Linked DNA regions of Stegostoma tigrinum. The protein of the gene in region 1 purifies or fractionates together with the protein of each later gene. This does not show direct contact. Links are inferred from orthologs where the notes say so. Each region holds a gene or a part of one and is shown on either strand. Other genes may lie near its edges.

Region 1 (8,475 bases):
CAGTGCTAGTATATCTCTTCTCAAGTAAGGAGACGAAAACTGCACACTGTACTCCAGGTGTGGCCTCACTAGGCCCCTATACAGCTGCAGCATTGCCTCCCTGTTTTTAAACTCTATCCTTCTAGCAATGACAGACAAAATTCCATTTGCCTTTTTAATTACCTGCTGCACCTGCAATCCTACTTTTAGCGATTCATGCACAAGGACACCCAAGTCCCTCTGCACAGCAGCATGCTGCAATTTTTTACCCCTTAAAGCATAGTCCACTTTGCTGTTATTCCTACCAAAATGGATGAACTCACACTTATCAACATCGTACTCCATCTGCCAGACCTTTGCCCACTCACTTAGACAACTGAGATTCCTCTGCAGACTTTCAGTGTCTGCTGCACACTTTGCTTGAGCCACTCATCTTAGTGTCATCTGCAAATTTTGACACACCACACTCAGTCCCCAACTCCAAATCATCTACGCAAATTGTAAACAATTGCGGTCCCAACACTGATCCCTGAGGCACACCACTGGCCACTGACTGCCAACCAGAAAAACACCCATTTATCCCTACTCTTGTTTTCTACTCGTCAACCAATCCTCTATCCACGCCAATATAGTACATGTAATACCGTGCAACTTTATCTTATGTAGCAGCCTTTGGTGTGGCACCCCGTCAGAAGCCTCCTGGAACTCCAGATACACCACATCCACAGGTTCCCCATTGTCCACCATCCAAATGATGTCTTCAAAAAATTGCACTAAATTAGTTAAACATGGCCTACCCTTCATGAACCCATGCTGGGTTTTCCCAATGGGACAATTTATATGCAGATGTCTTGCTATTTCTTCCTTAATGATAGATTCAAGCATTTTCCCCAATACAGAAGTTGAGCTAACTGGTCAACAGTTACCTGCTTTTTGTCCACTTCACTTTTTTAAACAGTGCTGTCACATTGGCTGTTTTCCAATTTGTGGGAACCACCCCAGAGTCCAGTGAATTTTGGTAAATAATTACTAGTGCATTTACTATTTCCCCCATCACCTCTTTTAGTACCCTGGGGTGCATCTCATCAGGTCCAGGAGACTTGTCTACGTTTAGCACCCATTAGTTTGCCCAGCACTGCCTCCTGAGTGATAATGATAGTTTCAAGGTCCTCTCCTGCTATAACCTTTTTGCCTTTCGTTTTCGGCATGTTATTTGTGTCTTCCACTGTGAAGACCGACACAAAATAACTGCCTCGGCTATTCCCTCATTTCCAGTTATTGAATTGACCTTCTCATCCTCTCAAGGACCAATGTTTACCTTTGCCACTCTTTTACGACATGCATATTTTGCTGCCTGTTCTTATATTCTGAGCTATTTTACTCTCAGAATCTATCTTACTTTTCTTTATAACTTCTTTGTGGCTTTCAGTTGACCTTTAAAGATTTCCCAGTCTACTAGTTTCCCACTACTCTTTGCTTTTTTGTATGTTTTTTTTAATCTGATACTTTCCTTTATTTCCTTAAACATCCATGGCTGACTATTTCTTTCCCTACAGTTCTTCCTTATCACTGGAATATACTTCTGCTGAGCACTGCGAAAAATCAATTTGAAAGTCCCCCACTGTTCCTCAATTGACCCAGCATAAAGTTTTTGCTTCCATTCTACCTTAGCTAACTCCTCCCTCATCCCATCATAGACTCTTTTGTTTAAGCACAGGACATTGGCACTGGATTTAACCTTCTCACACTCCATCTGTATTTTAAATCTGTATTTTAGGGCAGCTTGGTGGCTCAGTGGTTAGCACCGCAGCCTCACAGCACCAGGGACCCAGGTTCGATTTCAACCTCAGGTTACTGTCTGTGCAGAGTTTGCACATTCTCCCCATGTCTGCATGGGTTTCCTCCGGGTCCTTCTGGTTTCCTCCCACAGTCCAAAGATGTGCAGGCTAGGTGGATTGGCCATGTAGTGTTCAGGGTGTGTGGATTATAGGGGGATGGGTCTGGGTGGGATGCTCCAAGGAGCAGTGTGGACTTATTGGGCAGAAGGGTCTGTTTCCACACTGTAGGGAATTAATCTAAATTTGACCATACTATGATTGTGCCTTCCAAGAGGATCTCTAACTGTGAGATCATTAATTATTCCTGTCTCATTGCACAGGCCTAGATCTAGCATAGCTTGCTCCCTCGTAGGTTCCATTACATATTGTTCAAAGAAATTATCGTGGATGCATTCTCTGAGCCCCTCCTCAAGGCTGCCATGACTGACCTGGTTTGACCAATCGATACGTGGATTAAAATCCCCCATGATAATTGCTGTACCATTTTTACATGCATTAGCTATTTCTATGTTTATTGCTCGCCCCACCACAATGTCATTATTTGGTGGCCTATAGACCACACCTATCAGTGACTTATACTCCCTGCTATTCCTAATTTCCACCCAAATGGATTCAACCTTTTATTCAGTAGAGCCTATATCATCTCTCACTACCACCCTGATCTCATCCTTAAAAATCAGAGAGACACCACCTCCCTTACCTTCCTGTCTGTCCTTCCGAACAGTTTGATAGCCCTGGATATTTAACTCCCAGTCATGACCATCCTGCAACCGTGTCTCTGTAATGGCCACTAAATCGTACCCATTTGCCATGATTTGCACCACCAATTCACCCACCTTGTTTCGGATGCTCCAAGCATTCAGATAAAGTGCCCTTATGCCAGGTTTTGCACCCTTTTTCTGAGTCCTATCACCTCCATTACTAACAGCTCTTCAGTTCTCTTGAAGCTTCGTCCACCTACAGACATGCTGTTTTGCTTCCCTGTACGCTCACTCCTCCCTTCCCCCGTACTTACTAGTTTAAAGTGCTGTTGACCACCCTATTTACCCTTGTCACCAGATTAGAACAGGTTGATTAAAATATCTACAACTAGCTAGGCCACACTGACATAGAGTTATAGCAATAATTTGTATTTATGTGGTGTTGTAATATAATAAACATTCCGAGACATTTCATAAAATATAACAGTGAAACATAGTATGAGTTACTTAGGGAAATGATCAAAAACTTCAAAGATATAGTTTTTAACTTGTGACTTAAACGAGGAAGGTAGAGAGGTGGGTAGATGGATGTGGAGGGAATCCAGAGCTTAGGGATTGGCAGTTGAAGGTATGGCCACCAATGGTGGTGTGATTAAAATCAGGGATCCTCAAAAAATCAGAATTAAGCTTGCATTACCTCAGAGGACTTGTGGAGCTGGAACACATTATAAATAGTGATCAACAAGCTAGAGAAGAATTTTAACACGAGGGTAAAAATCAACATCCTGGGAGTTACCAATGACTAGAAATGAACTAGATACTGTGTAAATACTGGGGCTACAAGTGCAGGTCAGAGGCTGGGAATTCTGTGCCAAGAGACTTACTTCCTGACTCCCATAAGTCTACCTACCATCTACAGGATACAATCCAGGAGTGTAATGGAACACTGTTCACTTGCCTAAATACACAGCTTAAGAAATTTGACACCACCCAAGATAAAGTACCAGTATGATCAGTACACAATCCATCACCTTAAAATTCACTCCCTCTAGTGCAGACATACAATGGCAGCATTATATTCCATCCCAAAGATGCACTGCATCAGGTGGCTATGCCTCCTTTGAAAGCACCTTCCAAACATAAGACCTCATCCAGAATGACAAGCAGATGCACTGGAACACCACCATCACCCTCAATTTCACATCAAGCTATACAACATTCTGACTTGAAACAATATCACTGTTCTTTCACTCTTTCTGAGTCAAAAATATGGAACTTCCCTCCTAACAGTCCTGTGGGGGTATCTACATCCCATGGACTACAAAGGTTCAAGAAGGCGCTCACCGTCATCCTCTCAAGGGCAGGGCAACAAATATGCTCACGTCTCATTGAAGAATAACACAAAATCAGAAAACTGTTTAGTAGAGGTTGCCATGTAAAAACTGACTGCTTCATTTCTCATGTTGCATCTGTCAGGAACTAGGCTGTAATTGGCTGCAAATCTCAATGAGACATCTGATTATCATGCAAAGCACTATATAAATGCAAGTCCACTCTGCAGTGATAGGGTGGGAGGGGAATTAAACTAAAATACTAAGATGTTGTGAATAATAATAATAATAATAATAATAGCTGCTCAGACCACATTCCACCTGTGGTGGTTCATGAAGATTTGCCTTGCTTATACTAGAGTCAGAGCCAATGGGAACTGCAGATGCTGGAGAATCCGAGATAACAAAGTGTGGGGCTGGATGAACACAGCAGGCCCAGCAGCATCTCAGGAGCACAAAAGCTGGCGTTTCAGGCCTCGACCCTTCATCAGAAAAGCATTTGCATTTGCTGATGAAGGGTCGAGGCCCAAAACGTCGGCTTTTGTGCTCCTGAGATGCTGCTTGGCCTGCTGGGTTCATCCAGCCTCACACTTTGTGGAGGCAAAATGGTTCTCCTCAAGGCATTTACACTCAGCTAAATGCCTATGCTTCCTGAATGGACTTTGAATAAAGAACTTCCAGTAAGTGCTCACAACCTATGAATGTACAAAAAAATATAAGATTATGGTGTTGTTTAACTGTGGCTAGTGTAGCCGAGGGAAGCAGAGGGGTAGTTATCAAATCAGAGCTCATGGTACAAAATAAAGCCAACCATTCCAAAATAGTCCTCGTATCTGTATTTCAAAATAATCACCTCGAAAAGACGTATTAAACACTTCCTGTGGCAAAACATTCCATGCTCCGACATTTTTTTTAAACTTCGAGCAATTGTCAGGAATACTCGAACAGAATGGGGAATTTGAAGGGACATGTAAGTGAGACCACTCAACGTGGATGGATTCAATTTCCAAATCCTTGCGACATCTCGATGGAAAATGGAGCTGCCAGGAGAGGGCGCGAACTTGCTGCTGCAACAACAACAACAGCATCAGCAAACAGCGATACAAATGCAGGAAAAAAAAACAAAGCAAACCATGACAAATCCAGGAGGGAAGAGAGGAAAATAAGTGACCAAGAGCAACAGTAACAAAAAAAATTTCCCAAATTACTCTGGGCTAAAATCAAGGCACACATTGCATGGGGTGGGGGGCAGATCACGTGGTAGGACAATTTCGCCCGACACGCCACCAATAAACTTAAATTAAATTCTTATACTGATGACAAATTCTGACAGTTTGTAGTTGATTTATTGAGTTTGATGAGGTAACCCAGATGTTTTTTGGGGGTGGGATAGCTTTAAAAGTCAACTGATTGATTCGGGCTCGGCCGATGACGTTGGGCCGAGGGAGAAGACGCCATATTGGAATCGGGCAGACAAAAAAAGCGAATAAACATAAGCAGAGTCGGAGAGAAATCGTCGCCATCGAGGGTTTGTTCAATGATGTTTTTTTCTTAACACTTTTATTCGAGTGTCAGGAGTTAGGATGTGATTTTATTTTTGGAAACGGTCGCTTACCTGCTGTTATTTATGAAGCTGCGTAGGATGTTGATTATTTTTTCCTCTCTTCCGTTGGCCGTTGCTTTGCTGTAAGGCCACAAACACTCTGTTTTGTCGTTTTTTTTTTGTTTTAATGTGTTTGACCGTGTCTTTTAAAATTTCGTGTTTTGAATCCAGTTTTTTTAAATTATGCGTTTTTCGCGAATATGTCGAAAGATTTCGTTAAATGTCTTCTGAAAATTGTAATTTACTTAATTTCTGATAATGCTGTCGAGACTTGTTTTTCTCTTTATGAATTTTTTAGGAAGTGTTTGAGCTTAGGCTGTTCCTTTTTTTTCGGGGTGACGGAGTGGTAGAAGGCGGCCGGAATTTTATGAGCGAACTGGTGTAAATATTGACCCTTTTCTCCCTCACTTCACTCTTTCTTGTAAACTATAGCTTCTCACTCCGTCTGCTGGCTGGTAAAAGTACATAAATATCTATCTTGCATATTAAATAAAGCGCGTGGATTTTTGTTTACTCCTGTGAAGCTAGATTTTTCTGTTCCAGTTTTCGTTCTGTTTATGTCACTACAATGTGACAGATGGTGTTGGGCCTTTAGGGTTTTAAACATCATAATCTTGCTGTTGTTCCAAAAAAGATAAAAAGCTAACAATAGTTTGGAATGTTGATACTTTCTTTAATTTCAAGCGATAGAACTTATTTTTAAAATTAAAAATGTCTAAGCTGTACTAGAAATTCTACCTCAATGGCTAAGGTTAAGGTTAAGTTCTTGTAATTGAAGTTTCTGCAGCCCTTGGTTGTTTTTAAGGACGGTTATCAACTTTCATTTAAATTTGTTTACATTACATTGCCAAAGTTTGCTATCTTGATTTTTATGTTGTGAATGCAATCTTGTGTAGATGGGATAAAGATAAATTTGTTACAAAATATTAGAAAAATAGTGACTACTTGTACATCACTTTTTTTCGTGGTAAAACATCCCCAGGCACCAGAACGTTTGTTTTGACAATGATACCAAAGCACAAAGAAGTTCCCATTGGTAAAATTTGAGCAAGGAGGTGGGTTTTAAGGAGTACCTTAAAGGAAGGAAATAAGGTTGACAAGGTTTTGGAAGTTGAATTCAAACTTTTTTGTTTCAAAATTGGTTGATTATCTGCTTTGATTTTTCCCTCCCTGCTTAATACATAAGACATTTAATGTCCTTTTCGGGAAGGAAACTGCCATCCTTACCTAGTCTGGCTTATGTGTGACTCCAGACCCACAGCCATATGGTTGACTCTGAACTGCTGTCTGTGCAGTTAGGGATGGGCAATAAATGCTGCCTAGCCAGTGGTACCCTCATCCTCTTAATTGTTTAAAAAAAATTTTAAAAATTGAGTGTTCAATCCCTCTTACGTAACCATGTTTGATTTTTGGAAGGTTGATATATGTTTGGAATATTGTACCGATGATTTTTGTTTTGAGGTTATTTAACTTAGTCTGTTTGAACAAGTGCATTCTGATTTGTCCATGCTGTTCAGTTTAACTAAGTTTTTCAATTTTGGAGGCAGAAGTGATAGGATAGAATAGAATAGAATGGAGTAGCGCAAAGTCAGCAATTAATTCAGTGTTTAGTATAGATGTGTTTCAACTTATTGAAACAGTTTAAAATACCTGCCTTTGCCCTTTATACACTAGTTATTAGTCTATTCCACTGCAAAAAGAGCCAGTGGCAAGTTTTAATAATGTTAACTACCTATGTCCAATGCAATGTCGAACTTGTTGTAAATTGGATGAAAATGATTAGGTCCAGATCAGTATTATAAAATGGCAAGCTATTTGATTACTTGGAAGCTGGCAAAATAACAGTTTTCTTACTGTACATAAAATATGCTGCAGGCCATTTGGCCTGACCAGTCCATGGCAGTCTTAATTCTCCATGACACCTCCCATCTCTACCTGCTCTAAATCTATTATCGTAATTCTCTAGTCTATCTCCCTCATGCCCGTCTATCATTTCCCCTGAAATACATCTAATCATTTGCTTCAACCACTCGTATGGTAGTGCTTTCCACGTACTGGCCTTTATCGTGCAAGAGTTTTTCTGAATTCCATATTCTATTTCTTGACTTACCTTATATTGATGGCCTTTAGTTATGCTTTTTGCTACCAAGCAGAATCATTCTCTATGTCCACTATATAAAGTGATGAAAGGTTTTGATAGAAACATGTAGTTCACCTCCCAGCTTGTGTTTTGAAAGGAGATCCAGGCTGTTCACTGTTTTGATATGTGTATTATATGCATGTGTATTGTTATAATCGAGGGCACCAAGGCTCCTAGTTCCTGCATCTGTGCTGTCCTGTCCTAGTGCTTCTGGATCGAAGATGACTTGCTTCCTCTTCCTTCTCCAACTTAATAGATTTTGACATTTCTGATCAGTCTGACTGTTCTGTCCCATGCAAAACAACTTGTGCGTGAAGGATAGGTAGATAGTTGCTCAGAAGTTTGCGTACTGTCCTGATATCTTCTGTCTCTGTGTTCCTGAGTTAGGTTTGTTGACCTCCTAAAGAACATTCTTTTAGTCAGTCAAATGCCAGGGTTTCCTACGAGCTGGTGGTTTTGTTTGGTCTTGCGAGTGTGAAAATCATGCCCTGCTCAGCAGATTGGTTTTAAATGATTAGTGGCATGTTGGTTTGGCTTGCTTGCCACTGGATTTGGAGGCTCTTGTAAAGGCACTTGTAGTGGTACATCAAGTGGGTCCCTGCTGTACGTTGTCCAAATATCTGAAGCATGTAGTAACTCGGATCATAACTGCCTGGTGGCCGTGACAGTGGTCAGAATTTAATTTTACAGTATCCAATCAAGTGTTGTTACAATATGACTGACCCAAAAGTCACAGGACGATAAATGGAGATATTGCTTTTTAGAGTGAGAGGTGGGTGATAAGTGTCTCCTCGTCTTTTTTTTAAATTTAGACCTTGGAGAGGGTGTAAAAGTTAACAGGGATTTCGAACGTCAGTAATGTGGAGAAGCTGGTGTTCTCCTT
Region 2 (7,605 bases), on another chromosome or scaffold:
CAAGATATAATGGGAGGTACTGGATATCACAAAGGCAACAGATTACTGAAGACTTGTAACACATAAGGCTGAAGCATTGACAACAATCTTCAACCAGAAGTGCCGAGTGGATGATTCATCTTAATGTCAGAGGTCCCCAGTTTTACAAATAGCAGTTTTCAGATAATTCAATTCACTCTAAGTGATCTCAAGAAATGGTTGGATGCACTGGATACTGCAAAGTTGTCGGCCCTGACAACTTTCTGAGAATATCATTGAAGACTTGTGCTCCAGAACTTGTCGAGCTCCTAGCCTAGCTATTCCAATGTAGCTGCAACACTGGCATCTACCTGACCGTGTGGAAAATTGCCTGTGTAAGTCCTGTTGACCCCAAGTAAACAAATCTAAATTACTGACCCATCACTTTACTCTCGACTGTCAGTGAAGAGATTGAAGTTGTTATCAATAGTGACATCAACAGCACCTGCTCAGCAATGCTCAGTTTGAGTTCCACCAAGGAAACTCAGATATTGGTCTCATGATGGCCATAGTTCAAACGTAAAAACAGCTTGTTATAAAGCAGAGGTTGACCCCCCCCCCATGCCATCAAGAACTAAAACCAAAACACCCAAAGAGGAGTGCCTTGCCCTATGATCTGTAAAAGGAGTGTGAAAAGTGGTGTAATCTGTTTTTCAGCGACTTTAGTAGTTAAATAAATAAATCTCTGACACTCAATTTAAAATCAACAAGTAACAATTTATTTATCCCATTCTAACAGTGAACAAATTAGCTAAACTATTAACAAACTGAATAAATCCCTTCTCACTACTAACTGGTCCTGAATAAAGCAAGATTCTAATGGTATGCTGTTCCAATAAATACAAATCCCACATATACATGTAAAAAAAAATGTAATCTCTGGAAATTACGGCGATATTACGTGTCTTGTGGAATGTTCTGTGCCTTCTCCATTGATTCCTATGTCAGGAATGCCTTCTCCATCGATTGTTTGGTCAAGAATATTAACTAGTTGTGCCGTTGGTACTATTGCTACTCAGATGGTGCTTTCTCTAAGACACAGAAGAGGCTGTGACAGCCAGTGATTCTGTCTTGAGAGATGAGGGCTGTTGGCTCTGGGATCTTTGTCCAAATGTCTCCTCCTTTTATACCCTTGATGACATATCAATATTCATTACAATAGGATTGATTTTAAGTTGTCAAAACCACCAAATGTAAATTTGATGGTCTTTGATATCTAAGCACCCGGTTCAAATCAATTGGCTAAACTCAAAAGCCTATTGTCTTGGTCCTAAAATGCTGCTGCTTGGCCTGCTAACTGTATTGCCTTTTGATACAAATGTTTCAACTTGGGTGCTCACTATGTGCTTCTATATTTTGAAGCTGCTGCTCACAGACATCCGCTTTAAGTCTCTACGCGCCGAAAAAGCGCATCATCTTTTAAAAGGACCATGCAATGCTTTCCTCCCCCACACCCCCATCCATTTTACAAACACTAAATTCCTGCCTCCCAATCCACAAGTACTCTACCCAACTTTGCAACAAGCTGAATTCAAGAGGTAAGGTGAGAGTGACCGCTCTTGATCTCAAGGTTATATTTGACTGAGTATGTCATCAAGGAATCCCAGCAAAATTGGTATCAATGAGAATCATGGAAATTTTCCATTTGTTGCAGTCATACCTGGCACATGGGAAGATGGTTGTGGCTTTTGGAGGTCAGTCATTTCAGCTCTAAGGTATCTCCATAAGAGTTCTTCAGAATTATGTCCTTGGCCAAGCATCTTCTGCTGCTTTATCAATAACCCTTCCCTGCATCATAAAGTCAAAAATGGGGATGTTTACTGATGATTGTACAATGACCAACACCATTCACGACTCCGCAAATACTGAAGCAATCCATGTCCAAATGCAGCAAGACCTGGGCAGTATCCAGGTTGGGGCTGACAATGGCAAATAAAATTTGTGAGACGCGAGTGCCAGGCAATCGCCATCTCTAACAAGAGAGGATTTAATCATTGTCCCTTGACGTTCAATGGTCTTACCATGAATTGCACACTTTCAACATCTTGAGGGTTGCCATTGACCAGAATCTGAATTGGACTGGCCAAATAGGTACTGTCATTACAACAGCAAGTCAGAAGCTAGGAATCCTGGAGCACATAACTCACTACCTGACTCCTCAAAGCTTGTCTACCATCTGCAAGGCATAAATGGACAGCAGTTCAAGAAGGCAGCTCACCAACATCCCTGTAAATGTAACTTGGGATGGGCAACAATTGCCAGCCCACATCCCATGAAAAAGTTATAAAGAGTCCCTCCAGATTTCTGAAAAGTAAAGGGAGGGGAAAATATGTTTGATGTTGTCATTGGTGAAGGTGGTGGAAAAAACAGCATGAAAAATTGAATATGGAGTCTGTTGGTTTAGAAAAAAAGGAACTTTATCATAATTCTGGGATTTGGAGGGGACTAGGAACGTGGTCATAGCAGAATGACTGGAAATGCAATGGACATGGTCTCAAAACATCAAGAAACTGAGGGGTAGGTTGAGGGGAGGAAGCAAATTGGAGAAAGGAAGATATACCAGAATAGCTGCTACATAAGGTTGTTCGTCGGAACAAGTGACTGAAAGGTGGAGATTCTTTGAGAATTAAATAGGGAAATTAAGAAACCAAGGTGTGAGGAAGTGGAGGCTATGGATGTCAGTGGTCCTGTATTGAATATTAGTCAACAGCCAATCCTGGGACAGTGAAGTACAGGAAAGGAATAGAAGAATTAAGAGCGGATCATTTGAAGCTGCTGGAATCGTGCAAATCTAAAGTAATGTTACTGAAATTTTCTAGTTCAGGGACAGAGCAGGGAACAGTATCTATTACAGTCATTGATGTGCCAGAAAAAAATACAACGGAGGGACTTGATTAGGACTAAAGATGAGAATGTTCACATGAAAAGTTAGGTAAGCCCATAGTTGACATTGTCCTTTTTATTCAGAGGATGTGAGTGGGATTAAAGGTGAATTTGATCAATATGAGAACAAGTTCATCCAAGCAGAGGAAAGTGAGACTGGATGGAGATTTCATTCATGGAAGGAATAGAGAGCTTTCAGACAATTCTGATGGCGATGAATGTATAAAAAGATTGGGTGTCCGTGGCAAAAAGGAAACATTGCACAAAGTAGGACTCTGAGCTACCGAATGCCAATCATTTTCATACCTCACTCCACTCTGACATTTCTGTCCTCAGCTTTCCATACTATTTCAATGAAACTCATCGTAGGTTTTAGGAACAGCACCTCTTGTGGAGTGGAGAATTTTAGTGAAAGGCAACTGGAAGTTCAAAGCCATAATTACGCACTGTTTCCTTTTTGCCATAGATGCTATCTAATTGACATTCAATCGCTTCTGTTTTGTGGCCAACCACAGATTCCCTTTTTGTTGTTATTCCTTTTCCCCTTACCCACCTCCACACATGCTTTAATCTGTAATATCTATAAACTTCCATTATTAATGAATAGTAACCAACATAAAACATAAATACTTTTTTTCTCCAAAGATCACATTTGCAGTCAGTATTCCCAGCATTCACTGTATTTTGCTTTTGTGGAAGCTTGGTTTGTACATTGCTGATCATCAAAATTAAAAATGGAACTGAGAACATTAGAAATATTATGAATTAAATTCTGATCATAGTAATATACAGATTATTCTCAAAAACTGTTTCATTAATGCCTGTTTTTGTTGGAGCAAGCACATTCTCATTGTGAAGAGGGACTACTCAGTAATTTAAGATTGGGAGGGAACAGGGCTGAGGAATTAATACATAAGCTGATTTTGTGCTTCTAACTGATATCTGGTATATAAATATAAGCAACAAAAGGCTCTTTTAGTGCAATTAAACAGTCCTCTCACCTCTAACAGTGGATTAAAAAATAATGTCAATATGTGCAGTGCCACTTTGAAGGAGAATTGTTGGTATAAGCTCGACAGCATCCATGCTCACCAGTATAATTATTCTTAATCAACTGTTCAGACATGACATGACATACCCTGTGGGACATGCGAAACTTGGACCCAGATTTTATTTTACTGAGATAGGGGCCGACAGCGTGGGTTCAATACCCGCACTTGTTGAGATTTACCGTGAAGGACTCTCCCTCTCAACTTCTCCCCTCCCTTCACCCGAGGCGGAGGGACCCTTAGGTTAAGCCACCACCGGTTGTCTCCTTGATGAGAGAGCAGCCCTTTGGTCTGGTAACTCTGGCGACTTTATATTGAGCGACACTACCTCTGCACCAGGAGACCGTTAGACTCACCATTATACAGAGGGTAACCCTATGCCTACTGAATGTGACAAATACCTGCTCGGAGTTGGGCAGAACATGTGGGTGCAATGGCAGACCTCCGACCTGCAGGTGCCGCTGGAGTAGACGGTACGGCCCCGTGTTCCCGGGGGCGGAACTGGAAGGCGGTCGCAGCGGCGGTGACACCTTATTTAAGCGCCGCCAGGCTGGGAGGGAGGTGGGTCTTTGCTGTTGTGGGTAAAGAGAGTGGAAGTAAGTTATTGAGGTAGGGTGGTGTTTTTGGTGGGGGAAGAGAAGAAAGGAAGAGGTTTTGCATTGGCTGCAAGGCGGGAGGGTTTAAAAAAAAAGGGGAGAATCGACCGGTTTTGGCCGTCACCATGAGCGGCGGGACGCCGTACATCGGCAGCAAGATCAGCCTCATCTCTAAGGCGCAGATCCGCTACGAGGGCATCTTGTATACCATCGACACGGACAACTCCACGGTGGCCCTGGCCAAGGGTGAGTGCAGGCTGCTGGCGCCTTCCTGTTGTGCCACTGGGAGGCCTGGGTGTGGGTGGGGGGCCTCGTTCACCCTCCCTTGAGGCATAATTATCTCCTAACCTTATACCCGCTCGGACAAACACGGCCTTTATTTGTTTTGCCCGTCTGTCCAATTACCGATGGCGCCTTTTGTCCTATTTTTGCCACCCATCAGCTTGGTAGATGTTTTAGGCAACCAAGCCTGTTTGAATTCCCCTGCACTTGGTGTTTGGAGGAGCGGAGAGCCCACTTGTTTTCAGAATTTACTTTTTGTTGCTTTCTCCACGGCACAGATGAATTGTTGACTTCGCATTATTTCCAGTCCTTCTGCAGATTTACGTAGACTTGTTTATGGGAGTTTGCGTTATTTGAGGTTTTACATGCAGTAAACGGGTCGGGATCAAGTGACCACCTACCCCTGAGAAATCATGGGTTGGTGGTCGACCAAGTCGGAAAGGGCATTCGTTTAAATATCCCAAACTGTTATGATAGTACGTAGATTGTAGTTCCGATACTTCTCTTCTCCCCCGCCCAAGAGACTTGGAATATAAATTAGTGCTCGATCAAGTGGCGATGTCCAAAATAATTACAGTATGAACTTACGGTAATATTCATTCTAAATCTGCATTGGAGCCAGCTGACTTTTTTCCAATTGTGCTACAGGCAACATCCTCAATCTCTTCTGTCCAATGTTATCCGCTAAAAACATGCAGCGTTTTCACTCATTACCCTAACTATGCCCTCTCCTTTCAACATTTTCCTTGACGTTTAGCTTCCCCCTCGTTTTGACAAAGTTTTCCCTAATTTTTCTCCACTTTACCCTTTAATTTCTAATTCTCAACTGCATATTGTGTTCTACACGACTTTTTCTCTGAACTTGTTGACCACTAAGCATTGTATTTTTAATGTCGTTTTCTTCAATTATTTACTGAGCTATGTCTTTGCATTTTTGCCCTTCTCATTGTGCTTGTTTTTAACTTGAAGGCCTCCCATTGCTTGCCTGTTCTTGAAATTTTGTCTCCAATTACCTTATTGATTTAGTCGTCTTTTTCATAACTATTCTAAACCAAACGCGAGCACTGCTTTCCCAGATGTTCTTTCTGCAACATGTTGCACCTGTTACAGATCATTCTCCAGAATTAGATTTCATGCTGGTTCATTCCTTGTTGGGTTTTCAAATGGTCAATGAAAGTGAAGACAGTACCTGAATGAACTTACCAAAACAGGGAGAAAGTCTGTTTCTACCTGGGCCTTGCGGATTCCTTCTTCCTCTGCGTTCGTCAAGCAGCAATAACATGGCATCTTGGTGAATTAGGGGTATGATTGACTTATAGATGTAAGAGTAATTGTTTTTGATAAATAGATCTGTGTAATGTCAGGTTATAATATAACAATTGTGTTAAAGCTTTAAGACAGCTGAGCTATTTGATTAGCCCAAGCGTACCCCAAATGTGGCTCATCTGTATTATTCTTTCAGGTCATTCCTTTTCACAAGCTGCCAGGGTTAGTTTTGAAACGTTTGACCTTATTAAATTTTGACTAGTTCTACCCAAAATAGATGGGCCTTTCTGCTCAAGTGTGATTGCTTTGCCTTTGTCTGGTAAGTACTGCATGGTCTGCAGACTTTTACCTTAAAACTGCAACTGTATAACTGTACATATTGTTTATGTTGCAGGAATCAAAACAATTGACAGTGTTGCTGATCTAGCAGTAACAATTTGCTTTTTGAAATGTTTTTGCCCTGCAGTAGTAATGCTTCCCAACTTGAATCCTGTGGAATGCTAAGCTACCTCACTGCTGTGAGATATTTGGGTTGGTTCTCTCCTAATGAGAATGTACTATTTGTGTATAGAGTATTTCACTTTTGCTTAATCTGAGGTAATTTGACATTATTTCCTGATTCAGTTATCTTACTAAGTAGCTAGTTTTGCTGATTGACTAATCTTTGCACCTGAAACTCATTGAGTTTCTGAGGGAAGGGTCACTGGACCCAAAATGTTAACTGATTTTTATCCTCTCAGATGCAGCAAGACCTGCTGAGCTTTTCCAGCAACTTTTTTGTTCCTCGTTGAATGGATGTTTTGAAATTCAGAACCTTAAACAAGTTACTGTTTAGGAATGGCTTTCATTTTCCTCCTTCTGAAAAGTAATTCAAATATGTTTTAAGTTTTTAACTAATTCTTGTTTTGTGGAACCTTTGTAGACCTGTCAAGAATGTTACGGATCGTAGAATCTATTTGAGGGAATACTGTTTTAATGTGGATTTATTTGCAACAGGAAAGAAATGTGGCCAGGAAAAACTTGAGGATAGCCGTCTCTAGTGAAGCTGGTGGTTGCTTAGAACGGATGTGAGACAAGGTCTGATCCCTCAGTTAAAGAACTATGCACTTGGTCAACATTATGCATTGTACTCAGTATTGAAGATAATTGTTAATTGTTTTGTAAACTCAATTTGATATTGTTTCTTGAAGGCCCAAGAAGCAAATGACTCCATTTTGATTTAAACTACTCCCCATCTCCTTTCCTCCCCCTCAATTCTGATGGTTTGCCTTGCCCATATGGACTTTGCTTGCCAATGTTTGGTAATTACTAGTGGTAGTTGGTTTTTAAAGGAAGAAGAAAATGTCATGGTGATTTTAGTGGGAAAGTTGCCCCGTTGTGTGATAACACTTCAGGCTATTAAAAGGAAATGACTAGGTGCAGTATTTGATGCCACTGAGGCAGTGTGCCATAATAATAGATGCATGTCACGCCCTTAAAGGTTAGAGGCATCAACTGTATGAATGGTTTGG
Region 3 (7,495 bases), on another chromosome or scaffold:
CCAGGAATTTTTCTTCAATAATGCAACTCTCCAGCGAAGAGACACTGGGACTTAAAAGTTAGCAATACAGAAGACTTGAGACACAACATAAATCCTTAAGAATATAGAAGTTAATTAAAGAGCTGAGCATAAAATTCACAATTTCTTAGAGATTCACTCAAACCCCTTCATTTACCTCAACAGCTGACAACATTTAGACTGTTTTTACCAAGTTATCAACTAATTTCTTATGTATAGTCACAGTATACCAAGCAAGCAACTCTGTCCCTTTTAAGTCCCCAAATAAAGAAACCTGGTAAGATTATTCTATCTTGGATTTCTAAGAAAATAGTTGAGTTGTAAGATGAGGGGCTTGAGATGTCTCTTTTCAAGACTACTTTGAGTTGCGATTATAGGGTTATTTCTAATAGCTTGAAGTTGGTCAACTGCGTCGACAAAAAGTTTACTGTAGTTTAGTTCAATCAGCACAAAAAACACTACCAAATATTACACCATGGTGGCTCTCCTAACTGTTGGAAAAACTCATTCATCAGTGTTTTATCCTGTGGAAAGCTTTATGACATTAGCAGTGGAACAATCCCATCATGAATTAGTCTTAATGTATTATGATGAGGTAACTTGTTTCATTCAGATGCCCACAATCATCCATATTACAGAGATTAACAGGTCGACTTTCTGAAGTTAAACAAATATACAGCCCTCGTTTATTGGAAAATGACGCTTCGAGCCTTTTAGCATCTTAATGTGGCTAGATTCCTTCAGTGAAACGTTGGAAAATTCATCCCTTGATTGTGGAATATTACCCAAAAGAGAGCACTTGTTCTGGAAAAGATGGTGACTTATCTCATGAAGGCAGAGGCTCAGAGCAGTCATTTACACTCAGCAGAGGAAAAAAATGTGGTCATTGCTGCTATACAAGAAACACAGTGGCCAGTATGTGCTCAGCAAAATCCTACGAACAGTAATGTGACAACGACAAGATCATCCAGTTATGTTACAGACAAGCAACATTTTAAACTAACAATATTTTCACCCACCAGTATGCATGTACTGCTGCAGAACGAAACATGATACAACAGACCCAACAGCCTAACATATTCTACTCTATCAGGAAAGGACAGATAGGTTAGAAATACAAGCCCTGGTTTTACCTTCAATGTATTTGTAACTGGACTTATGCATGTGGTTAATCTACAAACAAACACTTATGCAGGAGTGTTAGAATGGTGCTGTAATAAATTTGCAGCTTGTCAAACCTCAAAACATAGAATTTGACAACACTCCAGGGTGAGAGATGTTCACGTACTTGACGTTCCTGTCAATACCAAACTGGCCGGCATGCAAGACCCATTATTATAGCATCATAGAGCTGTACAGCATGGAAACCTTGTTGCAAACAGACCCTTCAGTCCAACTCATCCATGCCAATCAGATATCCTAAATAAATCTAGTCCCATTTGCCAGCATTTGGCCCACATCCCTCTAAACCCTTCCTATTCATATACACATCCAGGTACCTTTTAAATTTTGTAAGCATACCAGCCTCCACCATTTCCTCTGACAGCTCATTCCATACATGCACCAGCCTTCGCATGAAAAGGTGGCCCCTCAGGTCCCTTTCAAATCTTTCCCTCCTCACCTTTAACCTATGCCCTCTAGTTTTGGATTCCCCACACTGGGGAAAAGACCTTGACTATTCACCCCTTCCATGCCCCTCATAACATTATAAACCTCTAAGGTCACCCCTCAGCCTTTTGAAACAAACAGTGAAGGTTTTTATCCTTGAACCTTGAAAGCCATGATGTATATCACAACGCAACGTACACCTATAGGGTTAGTATGCTCAGTAGTCTTGAAACATTGAAGTTCTTTTTACCGCAAAAGTTTAAAAAAGTTCCTTTCCAGAGAAGGCGTTAATTTCATAACGTACAATGTAAACTGGCTTAGACTGACAGGCTCATTTTCCTGTCCATAACACGTTATATAAAATGAAAAAGATTGCAAGCTTGCAAATATTAAGCAAACCATCAGTGATTATAACCATTTTCAACAAAGGTCAAAATTAAACTTGATGAAGCATGAGAATATCAGAAGATAACACTCAAGAGGGTCTGTCAACATAAGTCTGTATTAGTTTAACAACACGTGTTAAACTGAACTAAGCAAAACTTTCTACCATTATAATTGAACAGGAAGGGGATTCAGATGATAATTTACAGCATCAATTCAAATTAAAAAGTCTAGATGCAGGTTATGATCAAGTAGGCCAAATTATCAACACTACTACTTTCTTGGCTCTTTTAAGAATAAAGCCAACATACGTTGACTGTCGGTGCATCCACATCTGAACTTATTTACAAGCTGTCGAAGCAATCCGGTAAGAAATTTCTGCCTGCACGTTAGACTGTGATAAACAGTGTTATTCCAGGAAACGAAATTGAAAGTCGACTGGCTGACCAGTGAAACATATTGAACAACAAAAACAAATTGGTTCCGAAGGAGGGTCACTACACCCAAAACGTTAACTCTGCTTTCTCTGCACAGACACTGCCAGACGTATTGAATTTCTCCAGCAATTTCGTTTATTGTTTCATATCTCCAGCATCCGCAGGTCATATAGTTCTTTTCGGTCAATATCTGGCATCAGCAAAGACACCACCCTCTGGAAGCACTACATTCGAGCAGCTAACCCCACCACACGGACAACGGGCCGGTAGCAGGTCCCCGATTCTGAGAGAACCATCTTCGAGTAACTAAGCCCCGCGAAGGGAAAAAGCAGTGCCTCAGGGGACAGCCAATCTACGGTGGAGGTCCCAGTAAACAAGGCCTGGACTCCGGATTAAAGCGATTCACTCCACCCAACCTCCAGGATTCCCGGGTAACACCCGCCCAGCCCCAGTAAGTCAGCCGCTTCCAGGGCTTCACGCAGCCTTTAAACAAAGCGGCCCGGGCTCTATACTTACCGGAGACCCGGTCCAGCTTTAGCATATCCCGCAGGTGCTGTGTAGCATTCTCAATATCCATCTTAGACGCCTGGCTGAGTGGCGACGGCAGCGGCCCGAAAACCAGAGGGATGCGCACGCAGCCACCCCGCCAAACAGTCGGCGGTGCCACGGACAAACAGGTCTCTTCCGGTGTAATCACAAACTCTCCCTCTGACTGCCGAACCCCAGCCCAACGGACCGTCCTGGAGCGATACGATGCACCCCGTCACCAAATAACTTTGTACTCCTAAATGAATAACAAGGTTCATTCACGCCTGATATGATGATGTACCAATGGATGCATATGTAAGTTTCACGAAGAAAAGGGAAACATGTTGCAGAGAAAAAAAGATCATACGGTGTGAAATGGAATGCTAATTTAGGTTAAGGGATGGACCTCCAGAAATGCAGGACCAAACATTTGGAGGCAGAAAGCAGAGACTAGTGGCAGCTTTGAGTTGAGAATGTGTCATGCTTTTGGGACGGTTCAATATGCTCTCAAGTCGGAAGACAATGCAGGACAATATAACAAAAACAGAAGTTGCTGTTTTGAACAGTTCTGAGGAAAGGTCACTGAAACCAAAACGTTAACTGTTGATTTCTCGCCACAGATGCTGCCAGACCTGCTGAGCTTTTCCAGCAATTTCTCTTTTTCTTTCAGATTTCCAGCATCCGCAGTTTTTTTCGGATTTTATTTCCTGTCTAGTGCAGAACAATTTAAATCTGAAAACATCAATAAGAAGGAAGGAAATAGATCTTTAAGGAAATTTAACCAAAATATATAAACAGATTGAAAAAGTTTCTTCAGATATTTTTAAAAAGTTAACAAAGCAAAAAGAAGTAGCCCATGAAACAATTGATGCATTGGTTTTAATTTCCCAAAACTGATTTGATTCAGGGAAGGTTTCTTTAGATTGAAAAATAAGTAGTCTAACTCCATTCGTCAAAAAAGGAAGGGAAGCAGGAAACTGGAAATTACAGGCCAATTAACATTATTTATCGTTGGGAAAATGCTTCCGTCTATTATAAAAGATGGTACAACAAGACATGTGGATAAATTCAAGGTAATCAGGAAGGTAGAGAAAGATCCCAGAGAGAGGTATAAGTAGATTGTTGACAGTCAGCCAGGGAAGAAAAAAAGCTAAATAGTTGATAACAGAGACTATGCGTGTGTAAAAATAAGTTGGCTATGCTGAAAGATAAGGATGGAGTTGTTTAGGTTCTAAAATTATTGAACTTTATATATATATGAGTCCTGAAGGCTGCAAAGTCACACATGGAAAATGAGATGCTGTTCGTCTACCTTTTGCTGAGCCTTGCTAGAGAACGGCAGCAGCTGAAAAAGAAGGTTAGCATGTGTTGAATTGAGAGGTAACAGGAAGCTTATGGTCATTTTTTACAGACAGAACATAGGTGATAGTGAGTTTTGAGAAGATTTGTAGCTCAGGTTGAGGTTCTGGCTGTGAGTTGCTCGCTGAGCTGGAAGGTTAGTTTTCAGACGTTTCGTCACCATTCTAGGTAACATCATCAGTGAGCCTCCGATGAGGTGGTGTTCTACAAAGCGGTCACCTTGCTTGTATTTCGTCTCCCCCATGTAGTGGGGACTGCATTGTGAACAGTGAATACAGTCGACTAGATTGAGTGAAGTGCCGATAAATTGCTGCTTCACCTGGAAGGGGTGTCAAGGACCTAGAAGAGTGAGGAAATTGTAGGTAAACAGACAAGCGTTGCAAGTTCTGTGATTTCATGAGAAGGTGTTGGAATTGGAGAAGGAGGAGAGAGCAGGGTGTCCCAGAGGGAACGGTCCCAGGGAAAGCTGACAAGGGAGGGGAGGGGAGGGCAAGAGAAGGTATATCTCATAGTGCCAACCTGCTGTAGCTGGTAGAAATGTCTGCTCATTGTGCTTTGGATGCAGAGGCCAGTGAGATGGAAAGTAGAGATTGGGGGACCGTATTGTTGATGTGGGAAGGAAGAGAAGGGGGTTGGCAGAAGTGCAGGTGATAGGTCTGACTTGGCTAAGGGCACTGTCAACCACAGGGGTGGGAAATCCTTGGTTGAGTAAGAAAACGGAGTAACTTTTCACCAGATGCTATCAATTCTGAAAAAGGATTATTCTGTTTTCCCTCCACAGACATGGCCAGATTTTGCAATTTTCTCCAGCAATTTCTGTTCCTGTTCCAGATACTTACCGTTGGTTTGGTATTATCCTAAACCAATAACTTAAAATTACAGAAAATAATTATCAATTGAATAGAAAATTCGCAGACCTTTTTGCACGATCCTGCCATGACTTCAGTGAGAATGCAATGGATTAACTGCAGACTAGGCAACATCTAGATCCCGATCTGGGATGAGAGTTTCCTAACACCTGATCAAGTCAGAGGTCCGAGTTTCTCCTCAGCACAAACACAGCTATCAGCAAACAGGCGTTGTTCTAAAGCTGGAAGTTCTCACTTCCCAGCCTTGGTTAAAAGATGGAGCAGACTGAGTGACACAGAGTGTGACCTGGCCTAACAGCTCATTGAATGGCAAGTGTGTGAACTTAGCTAATATTCAAGCCTGAATCAAAGCGAGAAGAATCATACCAGACACGAAACATTAACCCTGTTTCTCTCTGCACAAATGCAGCCAAATCTTAAGTTTTCCAGTAACTTCTATTTTTTATTTGAGTAAAGAAGGTTTTGTTTTGTTACATAGAGTCCGAGGGTGCATTGGTGACTGCTTCCACTGCCCAGTATAGTGTATGTTAATTTAAGTATGAAGCTCCCACAACATGCAGACAGCCAAATGTATCTCAAGTGGTTAATATGCAATAGACTTAGATAAAAGAATCGTGACAACTTTGGTACTCTCACTACCACTGTATAGAAAAGGTATACCTCAGCACTGCCATATCAGTGCAGCTACCATATTACTATCCGTGATGTAAACATTGATACAGGGTTCAAGAAATGATTTTCCCTCATAGTTGTATCAGTGGGTTGAAAGCAGAAGCTAGGACTCCAAATGGACCAACATTCTTCCCCACATCGCATTCTCCAGACATTATGCTGACTGAAAATACCATGCATTGTTCTCATTTCTGAACATTTGTGTCATAAACAGATGATACTGGATCCAGAATGAAGTCACAGACTGGCTTACTTGGATTTCTTATGTCATAATGACACAAGTAAGCTTCTCCCCCTTCTAAGCAAAGTGCAGTAGTGTTTCATAGCTCACATCATTGTATAATTGTTTTTGCATATAGGTGATGATTAGGCTATTTACTGACCCTTTCTCCATTTGTTGGTACCGGTTTGTTCTGGTTTTATAGTCCATGTTATTTGCTTTCTTGTTTCCATACATCAAGTTGTTTGACTTGTCCTTCTTCTCCCTGGTTCTACATAGGATACCTTCAATGATTCCCAGGACCTTTGACCAGCTATCCTAACATTACACCAACATATCATGCATAAACGTAGAAGATTGTCTAGACCTCCCTTCGTCTGTTTTCATCTTGTAGGTAATTCTCATTATATATTTCTCCCTGTAACTTTTAAATGCCTCACTGAATATTCTTTTCATTTTAAATTTTACTCACTTATCAACCACTATTTCAGTTTCCCATTGGATTATGAGTCAGTATACTGGCAATTTGATGTTTTCTTGTTCTTCAGGCCACAATAAGCATTGTGTCAAATAACTGAAAACTCTGAAACCCAGTCTGCAGGGCATTTTCACCATGATCCCCTCATGTTAGTTACTTCGGATCTAAAAATCAGTTCAGCACCTTTATAGTCATCCTAACGTCATGCCACACATGCTTGACTTTCAAGTGATATTCAAAAATCGAAAGTGGTGTAGGAGTGCTTGTATCTCCTCCCTGTTTGGTCCCAGTGTTTTAGTGACTAAAGCATTCACTTAAGTTGTCTTTTACAAAAGGTCATGGTCAAGGGCACACATATTTCCAAGTGAAAGCTCCCAGTTAATTTCAATATCAATTAATTAATCACCTCTACTTTCTTTTCATGTGATTTAACAACGCCTGTCATTATAGTTTAATTCTAAGTGTGCAGTCCCTTGCTTGCCTGATTTTCCCTGATTCAGGAGCTCTCGAAAAACATTATTTGTCCTGTTTAAAAGAAAATGTTTTCATAACATCTTTAAAACCAATGAAACATGGCCGCGTGGTTCAAGGCATTACTAAATACTATTTATTGTTGTTCTTTGTGTTCAAAAAAAATCTCAAAAGTAACTTGCTAAACTTTCTTATTTTATAGGGATTCCAAAAACTGTGAAAAATTCAAATTTATGACCAGCCTCAGCTGTTGGATAATAGGTTTTGTGATAAATTTATTTCTTCACAAACAATCATTCCTTTTCTTTCTAAAAAAAAACTTAACAACATCCAGGCAACTTCCGTTAAAATATTTTAATTTAAAACAAGTCTGCTCTGGCATACATGTGACTCCAGACCCACAGCAACGTGGCTGACTCCGAATTGCCCTCTGGCAGTTAGAGATGGGCAA

The links. Proteins that work in one complex are often made in the same cells at the same time.
Region 2: the proteins of ddx6 (region 1) and lsm14b purify together in Homo sapiens (affinity purification with mass spectrometry; 4 studies listed by BioGRID and IntAct, counting the BioPlex papers as one, with this or other methods). This does not show direct contact. The link is inferred for Stegostoma tigrinum from reciprocal best matches to the Homo sapiens genes DDX6 and LSM14B.
Region 3: the proteins of ddx6 (region 1) and edc4 purify together in Homo sapiens (affinity purification with mass spectrometry; 4 studies listed by BioGRID and IntAct, counting the BioPlex papers as one, with this or other methods). This does not show direct contact. The link is inferred for Stegostoma tigrinum from reciprocal best matches to the Homo sapiens genes DDX6 and EDC4.

What each region holds. Positions count from the first base shown.
Region 1 is NC_081385.1:2,253,541-2,262,015, reverse strand, and holds the start of ddx6 (probable ATP-dependent RNA helicase ddx6), read left to right. Parts: upstream 1-4,973; 5' UTR 4,974-5,377; intron 5,378-8,475.
Region 2 is NC_081372.1:17,963,086-17,970,690, forward strand, and holds the start of lsm14b (protein LSM14 homolog B), read left to right. Parts: upstream 1-4,501; 5' UTR 4,502-4,671; coding exon 4,672-4,792; intron 4,793-7,605. UniProt on the Homo sapiens protein: mRNA-binding protein essential for female fertility, oocyte meiotic maturation and the assembly of MARDO (mitochondria-associated ribonucleoprotein domain), a membraneless compartment that stores maternal mRNAs in oocytes.
Region 3 is NC_081369.1:18,117,008-18,124,502, forward strand, and holds the start of edc4 (enhancer of mRNA-decapping protein 4), read right to left. Parts: upstream 3,105-7,495; 5' UTR 3,025-3,104; coding exon 2,964-3,024; intron 1-2,963. UniProt on the Homo sapiens protein: In the process of mRNA degradation, seems to play a role in mRNA decapping. Component of a complex containing DCP2 and DCP1A which functions in decapping of ARE-containing mRNAs. Promotes complex formation between DCP1A and DCP2.